Linked DNA regions of Nothobranchius furzeri. The protein of the gene in region 2 purifies or fractionates together with the protein of the main gene of each other region. This does not show direct contact. Links are inferred from orthologs where the notes say so. Each region holds a gene or a part of one and is shown on either strand. Other genes may lie near its edges.

Evidence for each region.
Region 1: the proteins of nek1 (region 2) and cfap410 purify together in Homo sapiens (affinity purification with mass spectrometry; 3 studies listed by BioGRID and IntAct, with this or other methods). This does not show direct contact. The link is inferred for Nothobranchius furzeri from reciprocal best matches to the Homo sapiens genes NEK1 and CFAP410.

What each region holds. Positions count from the first base shown.
Region 1 is NC_091751.1:63,968,082-63,980,081, reverse strand, and holds cfap410 (cilia and flagella associated protein 410), read right to left. Parts: upstream 6,380-12,000; 5' UTR 6,334-6,379; intron 6,251-6,333; 5' UTR 6,237-6,250; coding exon 6,160-6,236; intron 6,000-6,159; coding exon 5,981-5,999; intron 5,877-5,980; coding exon 5,830-5,876; intron 5,740-5,829; coding exon 5,510-5,739; intron 5,267-5,509; coding exon 5,116-5,266; intron 5,020-5,115; coding exon 4,923-5,019; intron 4,836-4,922; coding exon 4,674-4,835; 3' UTR 4,413-4,673; downstream 1-4,412. Other genes in the region: 2-iminobutanoate/2-iminopropanoate deaminase-like, read right to left, coding at 2,037-2,206, 2,280-2,334, 2,713-2,818, 3,537-3,613; rpl37a (large ribosomal subunit protein eL43), read left to right, coding at 6,668-6,670, 7,245-7,373, 7,520-7,602, 11,845-11,908. UniProt on the Homo sapiens protein: Plays a role in cilia formation and/or maintenance. Plays a role in the regulation of cell morphology and cytoskeletal organization. Involved in DNA damage repair.
Region 2 is NC_091748.1:39,057,812-39,069,460, reverse strand, and holds the start of nek1 (serine/threonine-protein kinase Nek1), read right to left. Parts: upstream 10,605-11,649; 5' UTR 10,465-10,604; intron 10,177-10,464; 5' UTR 10,145-10,176; coding exon 10,028-10,144; intron 9,936-10,027; coding exon 9,839-9,935; intron 9,689-9,838; coding exon 9,591-9,688; intron 9,459-9,590; coding exon 9,375-9,458; intron 9,289-9,374; coding exon 9,221-9,288; intron 9,133-9,220; coding exon 9,046-9,132; intron 8,272-9,045; coding exon 8,217-8,271; intron 8,001-8,216; coding exon 7,800-8,000; intron 7,696-7,799; coding exon 7,623-7,695; intron 6,199-7,622; coding exon 6,104-6,198; intron 5,965-6,103; coding exon 5,899-5,964; intron 5,620-5,898; coding exon 5,560-5,619; intron 5,483-5,559; coding exon 5,435-5,482; intron 5,281-5,434; coding exon 5,200-5,280; intron 5,125-5,199; coding exon 4,925-5,124; intron 4,843-4,924; coding exon 4,720-4,842; intron 4,633-4,719; coding exon 4,527-4,632; intron 2,216-4,526; coding exon 2,129-2,215; intron 1,769-2,128; and 15 more. UniProt on the Homo sapiens protein: Phosphorylates serines and threonines, but also appears to possess tyrosine kinase activity. Involved in DNA damage checkpoint control and for proper DNA damage repair.

The DNA.
Region 1 (12,000 bases), on a different chromosome or scaffold from region 2:
ATTAGCAGGATGATCCTGTACCTTTCTGATCCGACAGCTCATCTGCCTTCTCCTGTCAAGCTTGACTCCGTTCCTGAGCTATGGGCTCTCTTTCGTGTTCGTGTCATTCCCTCTCTAGGTGTTGTTAACTACAACGGCGCTGTCAGAGTGACCAGTCGATCCACAGCCTCCAAGGTCAGTGACACCCACAGAGTCTGTGTCGTCTCTGCAGCAAGATTGCTTCACTCGGGGGTGGGAAAACCACCTAAAGCTTGGTTTATGCTTGACGCATTCACTTTCCGCTTGGTGATGCGGCTCGCGGATGGAACGCGCTTCACAACTTGCAGCGTTTATGGTTCATGCGGCTTGTCTCTGCGGTGAGCTAATATTCTCCCAAACTGTAGGGGGCAGCATAGAGCTCTACGGCATGCAAGTAGAAGTAAAAATTACTGTTGTTTACAACATGTCATTCCAGCATGTTTTAACAGCGTCCTCGTCTTTTCCGACAGTGCGAGCTATTTCTCTCCAAGAATTATTAACAACGTGTTGATTGCGATGATCTTTGAGAGCTGAATCATACAAATGTCTGTATTTACGAACCTCTGCCATACTAGTTCTTGCCAGTCCGCCTTGTTTTTCCGCGTCCGACCGTCCGCATGGTTAGAAAATTTCCTAGGAGCGCGGTGCGGAAATTTTGGGCAGTGCGGAGGCGCTGTGGAGGGGCGTGGTTGTTAAAATTACGCAACCTCGCGGATGCGTCAAGCATAAACCAACATTAACCTAGGGGAGTTTGCAGTGGCACTGCACCTGAGACTCCGCACACTGGAGTGGGAACACCACCTGCCGAAGGGGGAGTTGATGGTGGCGCCGAGACTCCAGCTGAAGCCCAGTACCTTGCGGTGGGGATGCCACCTGCCGAAGGGGGGGGGCTGACAACATCACTGACCCTACTCCTACAGCTGGTGCTAGTGACCTCTAGACCTGACGTTGGTGACTCGCCTACCACAGGGGGAAGGTTGAATGCCACCCTGTGACCACACTGGCTGACCCTGATCTCTGACTGCACCTGCGAGTTGTAACGTCAATAAAACATTACGCTACAGCGTCAACCGAGGGCCCTCCAGAGAACACACCTGCGCCAGACACGTTCTGAGACATTGCATTCACCCCAAGGATGTAATTTTCACTTTAGAAGTGGGGGGGACACGGGGGGGGGGGGGGGGGTCTTGACAGTATGCTCTAATGGGAAACAGGCTTCAACACAAACGGTTGTTTTCCGCTTGGTCCTAGAGCTCAACCAGTGCCAATTTAATATAGCGTAATAGTTTTTGGATGATAAAAATTGCAGGGGTCAAAACTTGACTTTGGAAAAAGTGGGGGGGACATGTCCCCCCTGTCCCTCCCCAAAATTACGTCCATGATTCACCCGCAAACAAACACTTCATATTAGATTCATCCAAACACAGGGTTGCTTTTTTAATACCAAAGTCTTTTTAATATCAAAGTCTTTTATAAATTGTCATGTTTTATAATTGTTTTGTAATAAATTTCTTAACCTTCTTAAACTTGACTCTTTCTTGAAATAAACACAGAGTGGGTGTACATTGATCACTGAACAGGCAAAGATCTTTAGATCTTCTGAATTAACAAATAATCTTTGCTATTAAATTAAATCTTTAAAAATAAATATTATAATCTTTTGATTAAACATAGACCAAGCAAGTTGGTGTATGAATTTATAGCTATTATATTTATATATCCATATATAATCTCATTCGTCAATTTGTTTGATCTTAGGAATTAAAATATAAGCTGATAGCAATGGCCTTTAATTCCTATGTTTAGGTCATTAACCCTACAGTAACATTGAATCATCTCTGGTTTTGGTGTTTAACTGGCTTATGCAACATGTGGTGATCTCTCCTCACATCAGCATGGAGCCATAAAAACTCTTCCAGACAGAACATCACTTTATTTAGAAGTAGGGAATATAAAAATATATATGGAGTAAACTAAGGAAAGATGGGCAAAGCGGGCAGATCTAAAGGCTCCTTATGCTAAATAAATGGGACTTGTGGTATAGCTAGTTTGTGCTGACACGCAGCGGTCAGGGTTGTACAACAGCTCTTATCTATAGAGGGGAAGCCAACATACTCACACTGCTTGTAAACTTCATTGACATTTGAGAAATCATTGATGTCAGCGAGAAGCACGGTGGTTTTAACAACTGCCAGAAATAAAAGTAAACTGCATGAAGAACATCTGCAGAACAATGGCTTCTACACAGAGGATCGCCTCACCGTTCTCATAAGTGCATCCAGCCATTCGGAGGATCTCCCCCATGTTCACGAGAGCCTAGGAATAAAACACAACAGACTGTTGCAACACATGGACCTGAACTTTGTCCCATGAAGAGCTAACATGATCCTGGTGACACTTTAAAGCCAAAGCACAGTCAGAGCAGCTGCTACGTACTTAGCGGATTATTTTGTTCATACGACTGAATGTTTGGATAGTTTTACATCTGTGCAGAGCAGCTGTTGTGTTGTTTTAGATCATTCATTCACTCATCATTCATTGGTTTACTGTAAAGAATGTTTTCCCACACAGCTGCTGGTTAACACTGGTTGTTAAAGTAAAGTCATGCTAAAAAAGTTACTTTCCAGAATACTAAAGTAACTATAGCCACATCTCAGGTGTGCGGGTGTGAAATCAGCAGATGGACGATGACACCTGTCTGGTTTGGGCCTGAACACCGCCTCCCACCAGCTGGCCGCTGACCGGATCCATCCCCAGCTGTCCTGATACATACACGCTCCGATCAACCACCACTGCTTGGCTTAGAGACACAGACACAAGACTATCTTTCAAATACCTTCCACCTTTGACATTTCAGTCTAGCGCTTTACTGTTGTCAGAGGAATATGTAACTCTGATGTGGCAATCATCCTGGTTTTAAAAGTATCTAAAACAGATGGACTATTGTGGTAAATCTGTACATACAAAGCATGTTTAGAATAAACAACAGTGACCTAACTGAGGGTGATCATAAACAATAACAAAATCCACGATAGTCCCAGAGGATTAAAATCAGTTAAAACAAACAAAATAATACATCAACAAGAAAAATAAAATACAATGAAAACTGTGTTCAAGTAGGCCTAGTGAACTAGACCGAATTATTGCTTAGCAAAGTTTGCATATATATTATGTTATGCAAATATATATTAGAATATTAGCATTAGAATATGAAAGGTCATCAATGCATCATCCTTTAAAACTGATCTAGAACACAGAACCTTCACTGAGCTTTTAGATCTAGATTTAGAGAAAATAAAATTAGTTTAGTTGATCCCTAAGAAAAATGTTGATACTGGATTTGAACATTTCATCAGAAGTTTTCCACAAAGGTACAATTAGCTCCAAACTCTAACAGCAATAATTACATTTTAACATTTAAACTCCTTCTTGAGCCACAATCTTATCCTGGTGGAGGTTGAGTACTATGATCCTTAGGGTTATGTTGGCCAGGAGGGTTCTGCTCCCAGCTGGGTCACCCGAAACTAACAAACTGGTCCCAGGTGAAGGGAGAGACTAAACTCAGACTGGTGGTCCCCTGGTCCAGGATTCCCATAACCTCTTCCTCTTGTCTATATATATTCTAGTCTGGTGGTCAGGTCCAGATCTACTGTATGCAAAAGTTGTAAAAAAAAAAACTTTTCCAAAAGAGATGCATACTGAGGCGGCTCTGCAGTGTAGAAGTATATAGAGTATAAGAAAACCTCAGATAACTTCATCTGGATTACACATTTTAGTACGTTCATGGAAAAAATGCTCTAAAATGCTATCTTTTACTGTTCATGAGAAAAACACTTACTGGTTCAAAATAATATAATAATCAAATAGTTTAAGCCTGAGGGAGGATTTGTATGTCAGTCTACCCATGAGAAGCTTCTTCAGCAGCAGTAGCTTGGGAGGTAGAGCAGACTGTCCAGTAATCAGATGGCTGAAGGTTCAATCCCAGCTCCCAACAGAGAATGCTTCTGTTGTGTCCTTGGGCAGGACACTTAACCCACCTTGCCTGCTGGTGGTGGTCGGAGGGACTCGGCTCTCTCTTTACGACAGATTGATACAACGCCCGCATCACTGCAGACGCAGCACAAATCCCCCTATTGATCTCACACTCCATCTTTCCGTCACTCGTGAACAAGACCCCAAAATACTTTTAACTCCTCCAGGCAGGACCTCATCCCTGCTCTGGAGAAGGCATTCTACCCTTGACCCACTCAAGATCATGGTATCGGATTTAGAGATTATTTTTCATCCCAGCAGCTTCACACTGGGCTGCTATACAAATACAGGCCATGTACCATTCCATTATGGCAACCAATAAAACCATTTATGCGTGACTTACAGCATGATGGACTTTAAATGCTTTCCCAAAAGAGCTGGATCAGTTTTTATTTACAGAAATAGATCTAGACATTCTGCACAGCATACATTCTTTTGTTCTTTCAAGACATGTAGGCATGCCGCTATGATGCTGCAAATAAAGTCTCACAAAAGTGAAAGTGGCAGTGAAATGAAAATTACATGTGGTGCATTTTGCATGCAGAAAGATCTCCGTCCCTCAGAATCCGGCGGTTTGAAGTGGAAAAGGGATTGAGGCGTTGGAGTTGATGCTGTGAAACAGGCTAGTGTTGAATGTCTGCAGTTTTTTGAGCTGGAAAACTTTGAACATCTCCCGAGTCCAGTGTGTACGTCTGCAGCCTGTTCTGTGTGGCTGTGTGGACAATATGAAGCTCCTCTTCATCCAAGTCCTTCAACAGAAGCAGAACTGCATCAAGTGTATGAGTCTGAAAAGACAGAGCATTCAGGTTTTCCAGGTTTAAGTCAGATTCAACACAATGAGGTTTGAAAATGGCGCTACTGACAAATGCTACCTTTCTCATTGTTGGTCTCTCAATGATGGATGGAGAAGAAGGAGAGGAGAACTTGTCCCTGGAGAGAGGCTTCATTCCCAGTTCTTCTCTGATTTTGCTATAAAAACAACAACAACAAAAGGTTTATTATTGCCTCAAATTGTTTGTATATTGTTTATTTGTTGTGTTCTGGTTAAAAACAATTAAATCCCACTTGGTCTCCTCCATGTTGTAGTTAAGTGCATCGTTCTCTGTCTCTGCTTCTGGAAGTCCGTTGTTGGAGAGCTGGTTCTGGACACTACCTGGAGGTGTACTGACCTCTTCACCCTCCATGAGAGCGAGTGCGATCTCACCCTCAGTCACCACTGCACACACGGAGTGTCATTCATAGATGAGCCGTTCAAAGATTGTTCTGTAACCTTCAGTTATCTAGCCTGGCGTCCTATATATGCAGAGCAAAATCTCTTGCCATTGCTACAGTTGGTCTACATTTCTAGGCTGGAAGTTTTAAAGATTCAAAGTAAAACTAAACAACACCTTTTAAGAGCTATTAGAAGTTATGGCATGTGATTCTGAGCAGAAGATGTGCAGCAGCATCATAAAATCACCCTGATTGTCGAGTTTCTGGAGGCGAGGGAGACAGCGCAGCACAGTGAGGCGATACTTGCTCGGGTCATTTCCACAGCATGGGTTTTCAGCCAACCAGAGCACTCTGAGACGTGTCAGCGGACGCAAATGACACAATTCAGAGAGGGACGGAATCATGTTCCTCCTCAGGTAGAGCTCACTCAACGACAGGCAACCAGTCAGAGGAGACAGAGATGCGACGCTGTTAACGCTGCAGGCAGAGAAAACATCACAAGACCTAAAGGTGTGCCACCATCATGTCAGAACTAAAAGGAACGTTCTAAATTAAAGAAAAACTGACCTCAGTGTGAGCACCTCAATGTTGGGTACCTGACAGAAAATAGATATCTGAAAAAGAGACACTCATTCATGAACTCATACAACAACAATGGGTATGATGGACTGTAACAAAGCAGAGAGCAGATTTACATCAAAAATGAAAAATCACTTACATCTGTCAGGCTGCATCCCCTGCAAACACACGCACACACACGCGCACACACACACACACACACACACACACACACACACACACACACACACACACACACACACACACACACACAAAGTTACCACAATGTAGAGCAAAAAGACAGTAACTCACAGCTCGCCCTGACATTTAGACACTTACCAGCAGTTAAGTTTCCTCACACTTTGCAAGTCGGAGGCCTTAGCTTTAGCAAGAATCAGCTTCCGTGTTAGCTTCATGGCATTTCACCAATCTTAATCAAAAATAAGGATATTTTAATTACGTATGCTTATTTTAACAACGAACAAAGGTCGCATAATGACATAGTGGACGGACAAACGTATCATCTCAGCCTCAGAGAAGTGTATTCCACACACCGTGAATGCGCATGCGCCCAGCTAATGAAGCGTCCTTAGTTACGCCTTGAAAAAAACATCTTACTGTTTGTTTTTTTTGGTCTGAGGTGTTTGTCATACAGGCGTAACATGAAACATAGTCAATACTATAGAAATGAATTGTTATGTAAAAAGAAAATGTAAGACTAACGTTTGTGTTGAAAATCATTTCCTTCAAAAGAAAACTCAAAGTCCCACAATGCCCGAGAAGGACTGAGTAAATCGCGCCTGCGCAGTGAGTACTCCCTCTTTGGACCTACGTCTCTACAGAAACCATGGTGAGGTTAGCTCTCTCCCGAACAATCCTTGTCAATCTTATGATTCCCGTGTTTTGAGTGACACGGTGAATCCTTCGAAGGCTTTGTGGTGCCCCTTCTAGTAAATCCTTATGCTTATTTGCGTGATTTTAGAGATTATGGCAGTAGAAACGATGTTTTTAATGTCCCATTGAGACAAAAATGGCTGCCGCCATAGCTTTTTTAACCGGGTGGGCTAGTCACTTCGGCTTACTGTCTCACTTCCCAATTCTCCATTAAGCACATTTCAGTAGGTACTGCTGTTACGGCGATATGAAGCGACATGGTTCTACAGTAGTAGTTATGTTCATACTGACCGGAAATTTCGTAACTAGAAATGAAATTTGTGGGGAAGCTTGAGTTGATCAGGTAGTTTCACTCAAGGTCTACACACCTCAGATGAAACCTGTTCCCATGTATATTCTGCTTAGCTAAATTTAGCACTTTAATGTAGTTTGTGTTATGTTATAAATTTCTTAATCTGTGAAGACGGAATCAATCCTACGAATGGCACATCTGTAGGAATGTAACCGATATTATTTTGTTTTGTCTTCAGGCCAAACGCACCAAGAAGGTGGGGATTGTTGGTAAATACGGCACGCGTTATGGCGCGTCGCTGAGGAAAATGGTGAAGAAAATTGAAATCTCCCAGCACGCGAAATATACCTGCTCTTTCTGTGGCAAGGCAAGGTTTATAATTGTGTGATTTTGATATTAATAACTTTGCAGAGTGTGATCTTGATGCATAGATGTTGGTATGAAGTCTGAACTGTGTAGTAAAATGTTAGTGTTGTACTTCGAGAAATTTCACAAAAATGTTTCTGTTTGTAGACTAAGATGAAGAGGAGGGCTGTCGGTATCTGGCACTGTGGGTCCTGCAAGAAGACAGTGGCTGGTGGTGCCTGGACGTACAAGTATGTATCACTTTTTTTCCTTTACCGCTTTCTTGTTTTTTCTGCAGATCATAAAACTGTCCTAAGGATAGTTGTGAAAGATCTTCACTTTCTGAAAAACTAGTCCCACATTTTATTGTCACTAAGCCATCCTGGTGTTAAAACAGTTATATCTGCATAGGCATTTTTTAATGCAATTTAGGCCATTTAAAAACGATTTTGAAATAGTTTTTTTTTTTAATTTAATTTAAACACGCTCGTTTGTTTTGTTAATGACTATACACAAATCAAAGTGAGTTAAATGACAAAAAATTACAAATTATCATGATATATTTCAAGTTCAAAGGTACTTCAAGAATCTTTGTATTTAGTAGTAATTTTTTAGCCCAGTGAAGAAACAGTTTTAAACAGTTTTCTTCTACCCACCTGCCTTTCAGGTCTGTGCAGACTTTTGTTTTTGTGCAAAAGGTGTTACTTACACCACTTTAGTGGACCATGACAAGCCTTTTAGAATGCCTAGTTAACTGCAGTTTTCTGTTCCTTCTCTCATCATTGCGTGTGTTGCTGTACAACCGTAGTACTGCCTAGTTTACCATTCTCAGGTTCCAACTAGAGGTCGACCAGCTTTTTTCTATTACTGATGCCGATATATAGGAGATATGGTAAGCCAATGGCAAATGTTTAATGCTGATTTAATTTTCCACCTTAATTTCATGCTAAAATGTCACTAACATCAGTTGATGCACACAATTTCTAAAGCTGAATCTGTTTAACTCTGAATTTAACTAAAGTCAGGCATCTAAATAAAGTTAATTTAGAGTATTTATTACGCAGAAGTTATTAGTGAATGTAAAAATACATTAAAAATAAATTCTGCAGCAGCACCGGGCTGCCTGAGGATGTGCCTGACTTTAAATCGGCTTTGCTAAGGACAAATATCGACAAGTACAGATGTATAAAACCAGCCTGTCTGCTCCTAGCTCCAACTTGACTCTGCACTGTTGGATGTCAGTGCAGATGCTAATTGTGGGAGCTTTGCGGTCAATAGTCGCTTTTAGAAGGCATGCCATACCGGCAAATCAGTATTATACAGCTGCCATGGTGTGTCTTATGAGAGCGCCGTGGCGGCACAGCGATGCAGGGATTTTGCGACATTAGTGTCACCATGCTTGGTAGTAATATTAGCACAACACTGGACTTGTGAATTACGCCTTGGCGCAACTAAGGGTGATGTCACAATCGCATGTGGAATTACTACAGAGTCCCGGCCGGCAACTATATTGTAAAAGAAAAACCACGGGTTGTAAGTTTGGCTTATTTAAACGGTATCGGCTGTTTAAATAAGCTGGAGCAGTGCAGAGCTCTGGAAGCTTCTTTCTGTTAGACTTCACAGGGACTGAAGTACAGACACCTTTAGAAAGAAAGAAAACAATATTTTATATATCGCCTCTCAAGATTAAAATCATGAGGCTCTTCACATAAACAAAAAAAATTGAAAGTACAAAAAAAAGATTAAATATGTATAAAATGAGAAAAAAAAAATGTGAATGAAAATAAGGAAAGGGAAAGAGAAAACGAATAGGAAAGAGGGAAATTGGTGGATTGCGGGAAAGGTGGAATAAGGCTTAATATGACCGGTTCTGTTTACGTTGAAATACAATGCTTCCATGCATCTATGCAACAAAATAATACAGCTACGTGATTAACAATAGCAGTTTTTACAGGAAGTATGCAAATGTAACTAAGATTTAAACTTATTCACACTTATAATACTGTTGCTATTTCTGGGTGTGTCAGGATGATAACCAATACTACTCAACCCTACTCTGGAGAAGATGGGGCCTGTTTGGTCTCTTTCTTTCATCTAGACCTGCCACAAACTAATATTGCACAACAAACTCGTCCATTGAAGACGAGCAGTTTTACAGGGTCCCCACGCATCCTGGAAAACCTGGAAAATGGTTCATAAATTTTCCAGTCATGTAAAATGTCCTGAAAATGTTTAAGATGTCCTGGAATTTTTTTTCCTCCTTGGGTACTGGGCTGTAGCACTTGTCTGCTTTAATTTTTGCATGCAGCACAGCGTCCCATGTGACGCCACCAACCAATCAAATTGCTTAGAACAGTTCTGCTTCCCAGTGTGTCCATCTGTCTTTGTTGCTAGATTTACCAATGTTTCATTCTAAAGTAAAGATTTGTTTCTCCAAAGAAGAAAAAGATATTTTCTGTAGCGCCTCTAAAGATAAAAATCACAAAAACAAAAATTTAGAATATAAAAAGAAAATCGAAAATGATTAAAATATGTTTACAAGAGCAAAAATAGGCAGTTTTGATTAAAACTGTAAAGAGGGAGAGAGAAAATCGGAAAGAGGAAAATCTGTGGATCCTGAGGAAGGTGGAATAGGTAGGGAAAGCAGAATAAGGAGTGGTGAAGAAGGTCATACAAAAGCCAGCTTAAACAGGTGAGGGCCAAAGCTAGAGACTTTCAAATTCCATTTTTGGTTCTTTTTTAAAACACAGGAAAGGTTTGTCTTTACCTTGCCGACAGTTTCGTTTGCGGACTGCAAAACATCCTCATAGCTGACGCTGATGGTGGCGTCACTTCCTACTCCGTTTATTCTAGCGAGTTTCAGGTTAAGAGTGCGGCTGTATCGCAGTATATCCAGTGAGGGGTTTTTCTCCCTCTCTCTGTTAAATGGCAGAGGAGCAAACAGAGCTCTGTAGTGTGTCGTCACTATGGCGACCAGAGCGGTAGAGTCGCATTCTTATGACTTTTCTCACGTCCCCTAAATTGAAACTCATGTCCCGCATTATTGACAGTCTCCTGTTTCGAGTTTAAGTCTAGCATAAACTGTGTGGAGAAAGCTGCCCGTTGCTGTCAATCAAACTGGGGGCGGGGCTTTTATGCAGGTTCAGAAATGTATTTCCATTAATTGACAAACAAAAAACAGTTAGATTTGTTAAATCAAATTAATTCAGTCCAAAACACATAGCTCATCAATTTATTCCATTATACAAACCATGCGTCTTGGTATGAGCAAATGCAATTAATTTGAAAGTTTGGTCATATTTTCTAAAGTTGGTGACTGATTGTGAATACCGCTTGACTGTGAGAGTTTGGACTTTTAAACTGATATCAGTCGGTAAAATAGCAGTGTGTGAACTAAAGTAGAGAATCACTTCTGTTGTAGTTTAGTTGCATTGCAAATAAAAGAAAGCAGATGGCATAGGGAGCCTAAGTCACGCCCATCTATTTACGGACCATGGGTCCCCGGAAGAACGAAAAAATGAATGCAAGCCAATGAGGCAAAAAAACACTATTTTCTAACACCGCTTGTTATGTGCTATGGATTTCACTAGTTATGTCCATGAATTTTAAAGACGCATATCGATGCCAAAACTGCTTATTTTTGAACGTGTGTGTGTGTGTGTTATATCAGATTATTTAAAGACTATATCTCCCCTGTCTTCCTAAAGATAAACACTGTTGTTCTGCCAATGTGAAACAACCCAGCCACTAAATGAATCATCCCTTTTGCTCTCTTCAGGCAATAGTTTATTTTCTTAAAGGCCAACTTCACTGAGAAACTATTTTTACTTTTGTTTTATGTGGTCATTTGAGTTCCAAATGCAGGCTGAACATGAAAATAGTCTACTTCTCCTATTTCCTGCATTAGCCACTGATGGAAAATGGTCGGCTAAATGTTCGAATTAGAAAAAACACTTTGATCTATGTCTCACAGAAAATGAGCATTCATGGACTCGTCCGTCTTGGCTCAGGATGAGGAAGGCTGTTGTTAGCTTAGCGTCCAGGAGAGAGCAGAGCATTTCTTAGCTAGTAGAAGTTAACTGTTAGTATTAGCATCTCAACATTGGTTCAGGCTTGTGTTATTTGTGGATATTAAACTGAATGGTGAAGTTACATTTCTGTTAGCCAATCAGGAGCAAGATGTCCGAATATCAGGAAATGAGCCTCCAAACCCTGCTGTCTGAAGGTCACCTCACCTCTGCTGAGGCTCACGTCTACTTCCTGAAACAGGAGCACGAGAGCTTTTTTCCCCCACAGAGACGGGTTCACAAGGCATTCATTCATACTAGAGACCACTACAAACGTGTTAAAAGAACTAGTGAACTTGGTCTTTAAATATTTTAGCAGTGGACCTTTTTATGAAGAAAAAACCCTTTAAGAAAATGGTGGTCATGTTCTAATTAAGATGGGTGTTTATCTTGATGATTAATGTTGTGGTGTTTGTTTTTTTGCAGCACAACATCTGCTGTCACAGTCAAGTCAGCAATCAGGAGGCTGAAGGAGCTGAAGGACCAGTAAATCGGTGTTCAAGGATCACTGGTTCATTTGGGACTTATTTTCTAGAATGTTTCTGGCATGGCATGAACATCCCAAAATAAAGCCGACTGGAG
Region 2 (11,649 bases):
GATCTGGTGGCACAGTCCAGCTGCTGGGTGAGAGACTGCAGCTTGGCCTCCTGAAGCACTCTCAGCACCTGACACACTGGACTCGCTCCCCACACCTTCCTGGGAGCTTCTGCTTCTAGTTCACCCATCTTTATGACCTCCCCCACCGTTTGATCTGTGAGGAACCACGTGCAGAGAGATGATGAACACGGACAACAAAATACAGCAACGGTTCACAGGAAGTGTGCTCTTCCTCTCACTCTTAGCAGATACTTACTGATGGTGGTGATGCACGTCTCCTCTAGGGTTTGCTGCGCTGCTGGGAAAACAAGTGGAGTACCTGCCTCCCACTTCTTCCTGTCCCCAGCAGAGGAAGGTCTGTCCTCTGGTGATGCTGAAGAGGATAACATATGGAGTTTAGAGTGAGTGTCATTTAAGACGTGATGAATATGTGGTATAACGTATTGTTTATTGCAATAACTTGAGTAGTTGCACTGAAGAAGATCTGGAAGGGCTTGACCATGGCACAGAAAGATCAAATCTATCTCCAGTCTAAACTTACTGTCCGTCGTGGGATTTGTCTCCTCTAACATGTGAGGAGGCTCAGGCAGAGCGGGGAGCTCTGCTGCTTCCCATTTCTTCCGGTCACCATCCAAAGTGGGACTTTTCTCAGCGTCAGACTGCTTCTGCTGGACATCAGGACTTGGTTCTGCAGGTGCAGGTGGAGACTCCATCTTGTCCACCGGGTTCAGTGCCTTTAGGTTCTGGTTGAGTCTGTTTAGAATCTGCTTCTTCTCACTCTGGTGGAAAGAAAACATGAAGGTTGGTTCAAAATAATTCATTTTGTTTGAATATGTAGAGGAAAATAAATGAAAACACCTGAATCGCTGCTGCTGTCTCTGGTTCATGCAAGCTTTCTTTAAGCGGACTAATCTGCTGAACAAAAGGGACTAAATGAATACAGACAACAACTGCAGGCTCAAACAGTGTGTGTATTATGTACGCATACACTGATGGCTCCGACGTTCTTCAGAGCAGCAGTCATGGATATAGCCGAGGATGAGGGCTGGGCTGATGTTTTGGCAGTGTGTCCTTGCTGGGGGTCCCAAGGTTCTGGAGGTCGAAGGTCAGAGACAGGCGATGCTTCTGCTACAATGCCCAACTTCACACCTCGAGCTGCAGCAAGCTTCAGTGACAAGCAGCACAAATATTAAACTTAACTAAATTAAAATGTTCGGTGAAAGTTTTAGTTGAGCAAAATAAAGATGTTGTGTTTAATAAATCATGAAGCCTACATGGTCGTCCCAAGCTCTCTTTTCCCTCTCAAATGCTTCCCGTCTCTTCTTCTCCAGCTGCTCTTTCAGAACAGCGGCTCGCGTGTTGGCCTGAGCCTGACAGGAACAAACATAAACAAACAAACACAAAAGGGTCAAACCTTTCCCAGTACACCTCAGACCTTCTAATGCTCATCAGAGCCACCGCGTAAGCCTTGAGGTCAGAAGCTTTACACCATGCATACCCACCTTTAAAACCTCTATTTTCTTTCTTCTGAGCTCGGCCTCCTCACTAGATTCTTGGCTATCAGAGCCATCGCTGTCATACTAAAAAACACAAACACCAACTATAACCGGGAGCCTAGAAGTCTGAGAGCATGAAGCTGCTTTCATTACAGGCACAGGTAAGACTATAAAGGTGTAGGAAGTACCTTCTCCCCTCTCAGTCGGGCTTTGATCTGCTGACGCTCATTGAAGTTCTGCAGTCGGATCTGCCTGAGTCTTGCCAAGTACTCCTGAGAACAAGTACCCATGTTGAAGTTTACTACTAATGGATGCAAAAACTCCTGTTTATACATCCATTCACGCATGCACACAAACTCATGCATTTGCAACTCATGAAATTAGTGCACGGGTCACACTTGCAAACAAGAATTCCACAAAAAGGCATTCGTTAAATTCAAATGAAAATCTGATTACAAAACTGGAATGAGTATTTGAAATGGAAAACAGCCACTGCTGGGTTGAAATAACCAGCTCACACTGGACAGCCAACGTGACTGAACTGTTTGTCAAAGGGAGGTTTGTGCAGACAAACTGGGCGGGCCATAGGTGAGACGGGCCGTAAAGCCGGGCATTCAGGTCCGGGCTCCTACCTCTTCCTCTCGGTTGACTTTGGGCCGCCGGCACCGAGCTGTACTGGCCCAGCTTCCATAGATGGCAGCCATGTGTGGTCGAGTGCCCTGTCCAGCATTCAATGTAACCACGCTTTAGAAAGTGAAGGTCCTAACATCTAACAAGCATGGTTAGAGAACGGCTCAAATTAACCACCCACTGATGGATGTAATCACCTCAACCCCTTTAACACTGCACGATAATCAGAAATTAAACCTAGTTTATTTTCTACGTCTACACAGAAAAAAGTACTTTGTAAATTATTAGAAAGTGCTCTTATGTATTCACCTCTTTGCTATGAAGCCATAAAATAAGACTCAGCCCTAACCCTCAGCTCACAATTACCTTAGATTTAATTAAAAGGTGCAATCACACCAAACCCTCTAAAGCAGCACTAAAAGTAGACCAATCCTGGATTAGATTTACTGGATTTGTTGCTTTTCAAACAACCAAAGCACTCACAGTATTTGGAGCTTTTTAAGAGTAAGAATAGCTTTTTTGGTCCCTCAGTGGGGAAACTGCCTTATTGCAGCAGCTCAAGGACAGAGGGTGACAGCAGTAGCACAAAATATATCACACGAGAGTATAATTGTAAATGAAGATAATCGAAATGATTATTGCACATAATGATAGTAATATTTTATGATTTGATGTTTCCTCATAAAAACAAAAAAACATGCTTTTGACTGCATTGATGCACTTTCCTGTTTCAAATGCAAATTTTGAGTTTTAATTTGAAAATCCCATAACACGTCAGTGGAAACTAAATCTCATCATCAGGCTCTGCTCCTCTCCCAGAAGCTAGTCTCTGGTCTGAAACCCGTCTGCCCTGGCCAGCACAGGACATGGGCCTTAAAGGAGACTGGCATCATGTAACAGACGTGGTGGTCCACAGGTGTGAGTGCTAGGCTGGCATGGAGCGTTGCACAGGCGCACATCCCGATCCGAGCACCAACCTTGGATCATTGTTTTAGCTACACTTGCCACTATGATTTCAACACTTAAACTATTTAAAATATAAAGGCTAATAAATGAGCATAGAAAGCAAAAAATTAAATAAAATACAATAAAATAAAAAGAACGTTACCAGCGTGAGTCCATGTGAGGTGAGCAGAGTACGTAAACTAAAACTCTGCTGGGAAACGACCAAATTCTAAAATGTTTGGACACAAAATATTTTGCAGAAAATAACCCATAAGATTAAAATATAAAAACATGAAATCTGTTTCAGCTGGCTAAGTAAATCAGCGCAGACTCCACCAGGACTCGAACTGAAATCAGCACATGGCACAAATGAGCTGCCAGGCAGACGCCTTAACCACCGAGCTTCCATAACCAATACACCCACGGACTCGCCTAAGACGCTGTGGTACGGACATTTTGTCAGAGTGGGCATGGGCGGAGTTTCACTGAAAGCCTTTTATCGCTGGGTTTAAATTCAGGCTGATGAAAATAACTTGTATTTAAGATAAATGACATCTCAAAATTGCCAACAGTAATATTTTATACTGTGCCTATTTTTGCTCTCAAAGGTTTAAAATAGCATGATTTGTAACCTTTAACTCTAAAGAATGTATAAAATGGAATTATTGTTTACAGAACAACTTCTAGCTCCATACATCATTAAAATAGGTTTGATGACAGGACTCTTCATCACAGCAAAACCACACTAAAGCAGTGGGTGGCAGTATCATGCTGCGGCCTAACCCTAACCCTGCACATGAATAGAGGAAAATGCAAACAAATCCATCCATTCACTTATCCTGTAATCACACACACACACACACACACACACACACACACACACACACACACACACACACACACACACACACACACACACACACACACACACACACACACACACACACACACACACACACACACACACACACACACACACACACACACACACACACACACACACACACACTTAAGGCCAATTTTGGACAGCCCAATCAACCTAACAGTCATGTTTTCGGACTGTGGGAGGACGTCGGAGCCCACTCCATGCAGAAAGATCCCAGGCCGGGAAGCGAACCCAGGACCTTCTTGCTGCAAGGCAACAGCTCTAACCACTGCGCCACTGCGCAAAGAAATGAAGGAATTTTTACTTCAGTCTCAAAGAATTGAGATCCTTCTTAAAGGTTTCAGCCTAAAACAACCTTAATAAAACAAAGAGATCACATTCTTTGTCATTTTTATCTTTAAAATAGTTTAAAATATTACACTAATGTTTAAATATCAGCAACACGTGTCAAATATAGACGTCACCTCCAAACCCTGTGTGTCTAACCTAACAACCAGTTCACAACGGGTCATTTCTGAGCCCAGGAGTAAAAAGATGGTCAGCCATAAGAACGGTGCCTTCCTACGTACCAGCTGTCCTTCAGCTCTAACTTTATTAAGCATGGCTTCCTTCTTCCTCTGTAAAAACTCCTTGACCTGAAAGGTCCGCTCTGCAGCCATCTGGGCCCGGCCCAGCCTGGAAAACAGAACACTGGAACGTTGAAGCAAATAATGCATTTATCATTTCTTTTTATTGAGATGCATGCGCTTCAGCTCAACTCACCGACTAATGTGGGCTTGTTTTGAAGCATGCTGTAACTTCTGTAGTTCTCTTCTGATGACATCATGATTCAGGCATTGAGTGGGGCTGTTGGACAGCACTGGGCCTGCAGCAGCCACACCACCACTGGAAAAACACCAACAAAGCTTTTACATTTATCTGATACAACCCAAACTGCAGTAAAGGAAGTGGAAAAACATGCGTTTACTGAACGGGACTGCCAGGTCCTGCTGAAGCGCCGTCCCTGCTGCGGTCTTTGGACTGTGACTTAGCCGTTTGATCCAGAGCAGCGTGGTAGTGTTCATACGGCCTCTTGTTAGGGATGGGGGCTGGGGCTGGAGCTGGGGCCAAATGGGAGCCTCGGACAACAGCGGCAACGCCTGCAGCGCGCTTACCCCCCATTAAACACTGGACACAAACATTTGCTTTGAGTTAAATAAATCAGAGCTTTTAAACACAGACATAACATTTTATGCAAGCTACCTTCCTCTCTGGGCTGCTACCTCCACTCGAACCCAGTACATGCTTCCATCCTTGTTCTCTGGCTTGGTTTATACGACTGATCTGCAAGAAATCCCATTTTTCACTTTTCATTCAGCTTGAATCATATCACGGCTTTTGTGGTCAGGGTTAGTGAAAGTAAAATATAAAGCTGAGCCACATTTCAGCCCAAAGCTATCCGACTCCACCTTAGCTTGTAGGAAAAGCAGTTTCTCACCTTTTCCTTCTCATACCTCTTCACTTGCTCTGCTTTCAACAGGAACATCTGGAAAGCAGAGAGTAGAAAACTACAAAGCTCAATAAATAAAAAATGAATACAAAGAAACTAAACTGAATGCTCACCTGCTCTTTCTGTTTTCTTTCTTTCTCCGTCTGTTCCATCTTTTTCTTTCCGATTCCCGCCTGTAGAGGAAAACAGGCGTCACACACAAAATATGTTCTAGAAAATACGGCTGAGGTTGCAGGGCTGCTCTGTCACAGGGAAAGGTGCTTAATGAAAAAGCTAATCCAAGCAGAGCACTTGTGTTGGTCTGGAGTGGAAAATGGGACAATCACGCATAACGGGCGAGGGGAAAACTGAAAGTGGTGGTAACAGGACACCCAAGTGTGTGTGTGTGCGAGAATGATAGAAGACGAAGGGAGGTCTAACGGGGATTAAGGTATACGGGTGCTCAGCTGTACCTCGTGTTTTTTCCTTTCCTCCTCCCCTTGACTCGGTCTCCTCTGAGGGGCTGCTGGGTTTGGGGCCTGAGCAACATACGACATGTGGCTTCAGAGTTAGCCGGCACAGTGTGATGCCACAACACTCAGAAACAGGCCCATGGGAGCCGGATGAGATTCAAGACAATGAACTTAACCGTTGATCAGCCTAAAGAAAATGACTGACCGGTTTGTGTTTTACAGCAGATTTCTTCTCCGATGAGCTCTTGGCTCCAGTTAAAGGCACTCCATATTTGGAAGCTGGTTTTGTAATTTTCTGGGCTGGAGCATCAGAGTGTGAAAAGAAGAGAAGCAATTCAGTCAAATAAAAAAACAATAACAGCTTGCTTTCACAGCACATAACATACAATAACTACAGTACACATAATATCCCTAAAAACATGAGGTGTAACACAGTTTGCCTGTCCTGCGCCGGCCGACTGCTGCAGCCTGGTGGATGAGACGAGTACATGTCCACACCTGTTAAAGCATGGACTAGCCCACGTAGCTTAATGTGACACGTAGTTCTTCTGAATTTGACCTTTCTTAAGGATTACAGTATTTGTGTTTTCAGAATAGGGTTTAAAGCAAGCAGCTGCATAACTGAGTGAAGACAAGGGTCGGGGTCATGAAGCAGGATTAAAGTCCGACAGCGGTAACTCCAGACTCATCTGGAGGTTTCACAAAGCTGTGTCATGCCTCTGTGGGACGCATCACCATAGCAATTACTGTAAAGCTTTGGTTCATTTCAGGGCTGTGGTGTGAATTTTGACACCTTGTTGGTTGGAGTTTAGGACTCACTGCAGTCTTCATGCTAAATCTGAGGGATAGGACAAGGAACAATGCTAGAAGTTATTAAATTATTTCCCACACACACACGTTGTCATTTTAATAAAACCAAAGCAAACTCATTCATGTCTCGATCATGTAGTGCTGACAAAATAACCGATTTAGATTAAACTCACAGAAGAAAATCCCTGAACTTGCATCTATAACAAATTACATTTTTGCATCAGCCTGATTCAAGATGGCGGTCGCAGCTACAGGATATTAGAAAGCATGGCTTTAGTCAATTTTACAGATGATGGTCTACAACAGCTGAGCATCCTTTACCACATGTACTTCAGCGTCTACCTGATCTTATGATAACGGACAGTCGTTTAAGATTTGACAAAAACTGCTTGAACGTATTTACTCCCTCAACACGAGGTGGTTTTATGTTTAAACCGCGAAAGGCAGATTGGGATTTGCATTCATTTGAGCAACCTAGGCCTTCAACACGATTCCAGATCTTTTCAGTGATGGACACTGAAGCACATTTCCTTATAATTTATTCTTCTTCTCTTCTCCAGGTGATTTTTGAGGATTGAGATATTGTTTATTTGTTTCCCTACCAACAGGTTTTAAATGCCATTCATGGCAACTGTGACAACTGAACTTTAAACTGTTCCAGAAGTCAAAGCATCACCTTACAACAGACTGAGATTCGGGCAACTGGTTGTAAAGCTTACTTAGTTCATGTCCACTAGCTTCTCTTTCAGACCTTCTGACCCAATTTAGTTATTTGTCTTTGATTACATCAATAGCAAAAACCTTTGGACTCTAACGTCATGAAGAGTAAGGCAACATTGTGCACGATTTTAAATTTATCCAATAAGGTAACATTAGAGAGGATGAGACGGGCAATGCTGCACAACTTCACCTACCTGATGGCACTTGTGCCAAACCCACTTTAGGCTGCTTGTGAAGAAAATGATGGCGGAATTCCTGAGCGATGATCTTGGGGGGGGGGGGGGGGGGGGGGGGAGACAAGCTTTTTTAAATGACCAAAGTTTGGTTTATAAAGACAAAGAAAGCATAGTAAAAGATAAAATCAAATCTACCTGTGGTGTGAGAAACTTCTCTATCCTGCAGAAAAGGAAAGGCTTGTCCAGTACGCTGCTGACTGAGGGCCTCTCTCGGGGGTTTCGTTTAAACAGCTGCGCCAAGAGAGACCGCAGTTCTTGGGAGTAGTGAACAGACACAGGAGGGAATGAACCACGAATGATCTTCAGGACCAAGTTCTTCATGTTGCCAGCTTCAAACTAAAAGGAAACACACACACACACGACTATTTGTATAATGAATGAACATGTTTAAGACAATAGAGTGGAAATCAACAGCACGACATTTCTGAATGTCAGATTTGAAACCAGAGTGTTTGCAGCCAAGAGCAGAATATATGAGTGAACACTGCAGGACTACAAAGAATGCATTAAAATGTGCACCGATATGTGAACAGCTTACACACAAATACTTACTGCATGCTTAAGAGTGCACATTTCATAGAGGACACATCCTAGGGCCCAAATGTCACTGCAGAAGGAAGGACAGTAGGGAAATAAGGTACACATGAACAGGCAGGGATGGCAGTCAGGGAAGGTTTACGTTCACAGAGTAGGCTATTAATAGTATTTAATGCATGTTAAACTGATTGGGGCCTATGTGAAAACTCCTGACTAAGCACTGGAATAGTTAGAATGACTAAAGTAGACACCATGAACACCTAAAACAGGCAAGGAAGAAAACAGTATTAGCTTTCTGCAGTATAAGTATCACGAGGTGACCATGCTGACATCACCAATAAGCAACACAATCCTGCATGAACTCACTGTTAAGAGTGCGGATATGAGGACTAAGAGGTTCTAATTTAAAGAGCAAGTCACCCCTACCAGAGTCTAACTCAACTCCCACTTCCTGTTTGAAAAATGCAACAAATGCTGTTGCCTAGCAGACCGAGGGGGCGAAGCCACTAATAAATACACACACAGGCTCACAACGACATTGTGACATCACATGGTACCAGCTAACGTTCTAGGGTACCTCTTAGCCAATAGCGATGGCAGATTTAAATTCAAATGCAGTGCAGAGTTTTTACCTGACGACGGCACAACACTGACAGTTTTAGGCAGAAAATTTAAATTTAGACTAAAATGCACTAAAGTGCAAAACTACTGACGACACGTGTCTGCAGCGCGATTAGACATGCATTGATAATTTATTAGAAGACAAAAAAAGCTGATTTGGGCGTGACTTGCTCTTTAAATGAAGGAAACACCGAAACACTGTTGATTCAAACTCATCCATTACCTTTTGTTGTTGTATGGTTTGTTTTCACAAATCTCTGGTGATAAATAATATGGTGTTCCTATGCATGTCCTCGCAAGATCAACAGTGCTGAAAATGAGAGGAGAACAACGTTTTTGTTGTCTTAACAAGTTTAAATGTTGTCCTTACGAAAATCAGCAGAAGGCACTGAACACACCTATTCAAGACTCTCGCAATTCCAAAGTCACCAAGCTGTACGGTCCCATCTTTTGTCAAAAATATGTTCTGTGCAGACATATTGACAACATTAAACAAACAAATAAATAATAGAATAAATAGCCTGTAAACCACAGATGCACAGAAAACAGTACCTGTGACTTAATATCCCTGTGGAGGATTTTTCGATCGTGTACATGCTTCAGAGCGAGGCAAATCTGGACAAACCAATCCAAGATCTTGGAAAGACAGAAAAAGGGCAAACCAAACAAGGAGGTATCAAAACAGAAATCACCATCGCATAATTCATTTAACACAAACACAGCTATTCAAAAATAATTACTCCATAGAGTTACAGCATCAAAGCTTACCTGCTCTTCTGAGAACAAAACTCCTTTTTGAGAGTTGATCTTCCTGAAAAGGTCTCCACCTTCACAATAATCCATCACGATGTACAAACATCCCCCTTCTAAAAATTCGAAGTGATATTAAACACACACACACACACACACACACACACACACACACACACACACACACACACACACACACACACAGATTATTGTAGTACAATTATTGTATTTCATCACAACAGGTGAACTCTGAATTATGTAAATACCTTCAAAAGACTCCTTATACTGGACAATATTGGGATGACTCATGTTGGCAAGAACAGCAACCTCTCTGCGAGATTCCTGCCTCTCTTTACTTGACATCTATAAAATTATATACAACTCATGTAAATTCATGGATTAACATGAGGAGGTAACTCACCCATGGAAAACGTGAATTATGCAAAGCATCTTACACCAGATATGCCAATCTCCTTGATGACATACTGGTGTCCATCTTCTTTGGATTTCACCAGGATAGCCTTTCCAAATGAACCTTCCCCGATTTTCTTCACCTTTTCGTACTTGTCCATGTTACTAGATAGGCTGACTTTACATGCTGAATCTGGAAATAGGAAAGTTCTGGATGATCTCTGTCTCTAAGCTTTGAATTAAAAGTTAGAAAACAAATGTCATTCATTAATCACAATTCTACACTAGATAAAACAAAAAGACATGAAGGAGTCAGAGCAGTGATGCTGAGAGTCAACACTGCCAGGTAGCTAACGCTGCTGACAGCTAGCTAGACGATGATTGCTACAAAAAACAAGAGTCCCGCTCAAAACCTGATGATAAAAAACGACCCTTACGTATCAAAATGACAAATTAATTACGAGAATAACATTTAACTTACCATTAGTTCCTCCAATCCTTGGAGTTTTGAAGAGATTCTAGAAATCGCTGCTAGCCTCACGCTCGAGCTGATGACGATGACTTTCTTTAGTTTTCATTGGACAATTTGACATTTCTCGAAAAGTGATTGGTTCCTACAGCTGTTGATCATCTCTCATAACCAACCCCCAATAAGGTTGTTGCTGTGAACATTTCCCTTAGCAACCACCATACAATTACAATAGCTAGCCACCGTTGAGGGATGTCGTTAAGCTTCGGCGTTACTCACTTTTTTTTTTACTTGTCATGAATTCAGATACAGACATTCACACAAACTGTGTTTTTGTGACAAGCAGTGGCTAGATCAGAATTAAACTCGCTTGTTATGTACATACAACACAAGCGAGTAATGTTGATCTAGACCACTGAATAATTTAGAGTCCCTTCTGCTTACAAACATTCTTTTCTTTTAGCACGGAGTAACACATTCGTTAAATTATCGACGTATATGCTTGTTACGCGTTCAATGTTGATGAGAACATTGACTTATTGACCGATGCTGGCAACACACCCAAAACAACCGCCCCAATGATAAATTAGGGTCACGTGACTGGCTCACGCACTCCTCCGTGTTTGATATATTGCAGTCCGAGTCGATGCAGATGACGCAGTGGTGAGGACTAGTGAAGATGGCTCCTTTTCCAGACGAGGTGGATGTTTTTACTGGCCCACACTGGCGAATGAAGCAGCTTGTGGGTCTGTATTGTGAAAAGGTGCGTAGATATCAATTTAATTCGTTAATTTTGAGTTTTACAAATGAAACCGATCGTTTTTCTTACTAAAGGATGACTGAGCGCAGGTTAGCATGCTAGCTAGTTGATGTTAGCTGGTAGTGTGTTTAGCTGTGAACCGAAGCAGATGAACTGTCGGATGTCTGGATTGCTCCTACACACGGATTCACGTGTTTTTAGTTAGACTTGTGTGGAAATGCCTGAGTTTTACTTGCCTTTAATGTTGTTGTATCAGCTCTTTTGTAACCTACTCGAAACACGCCTCTTGTAGTTTTAGTTATGTTCCAATTAACAGAGCTACTTTGCTAATGGGATTGGAGAGCAGGTTGCAAGTTCTCTGCCAATACGTGTCAGACTAGCATATTTAGGTCACCACTGCAGATATTTCTGTTAACGCGGTACACTGTGCACAATTA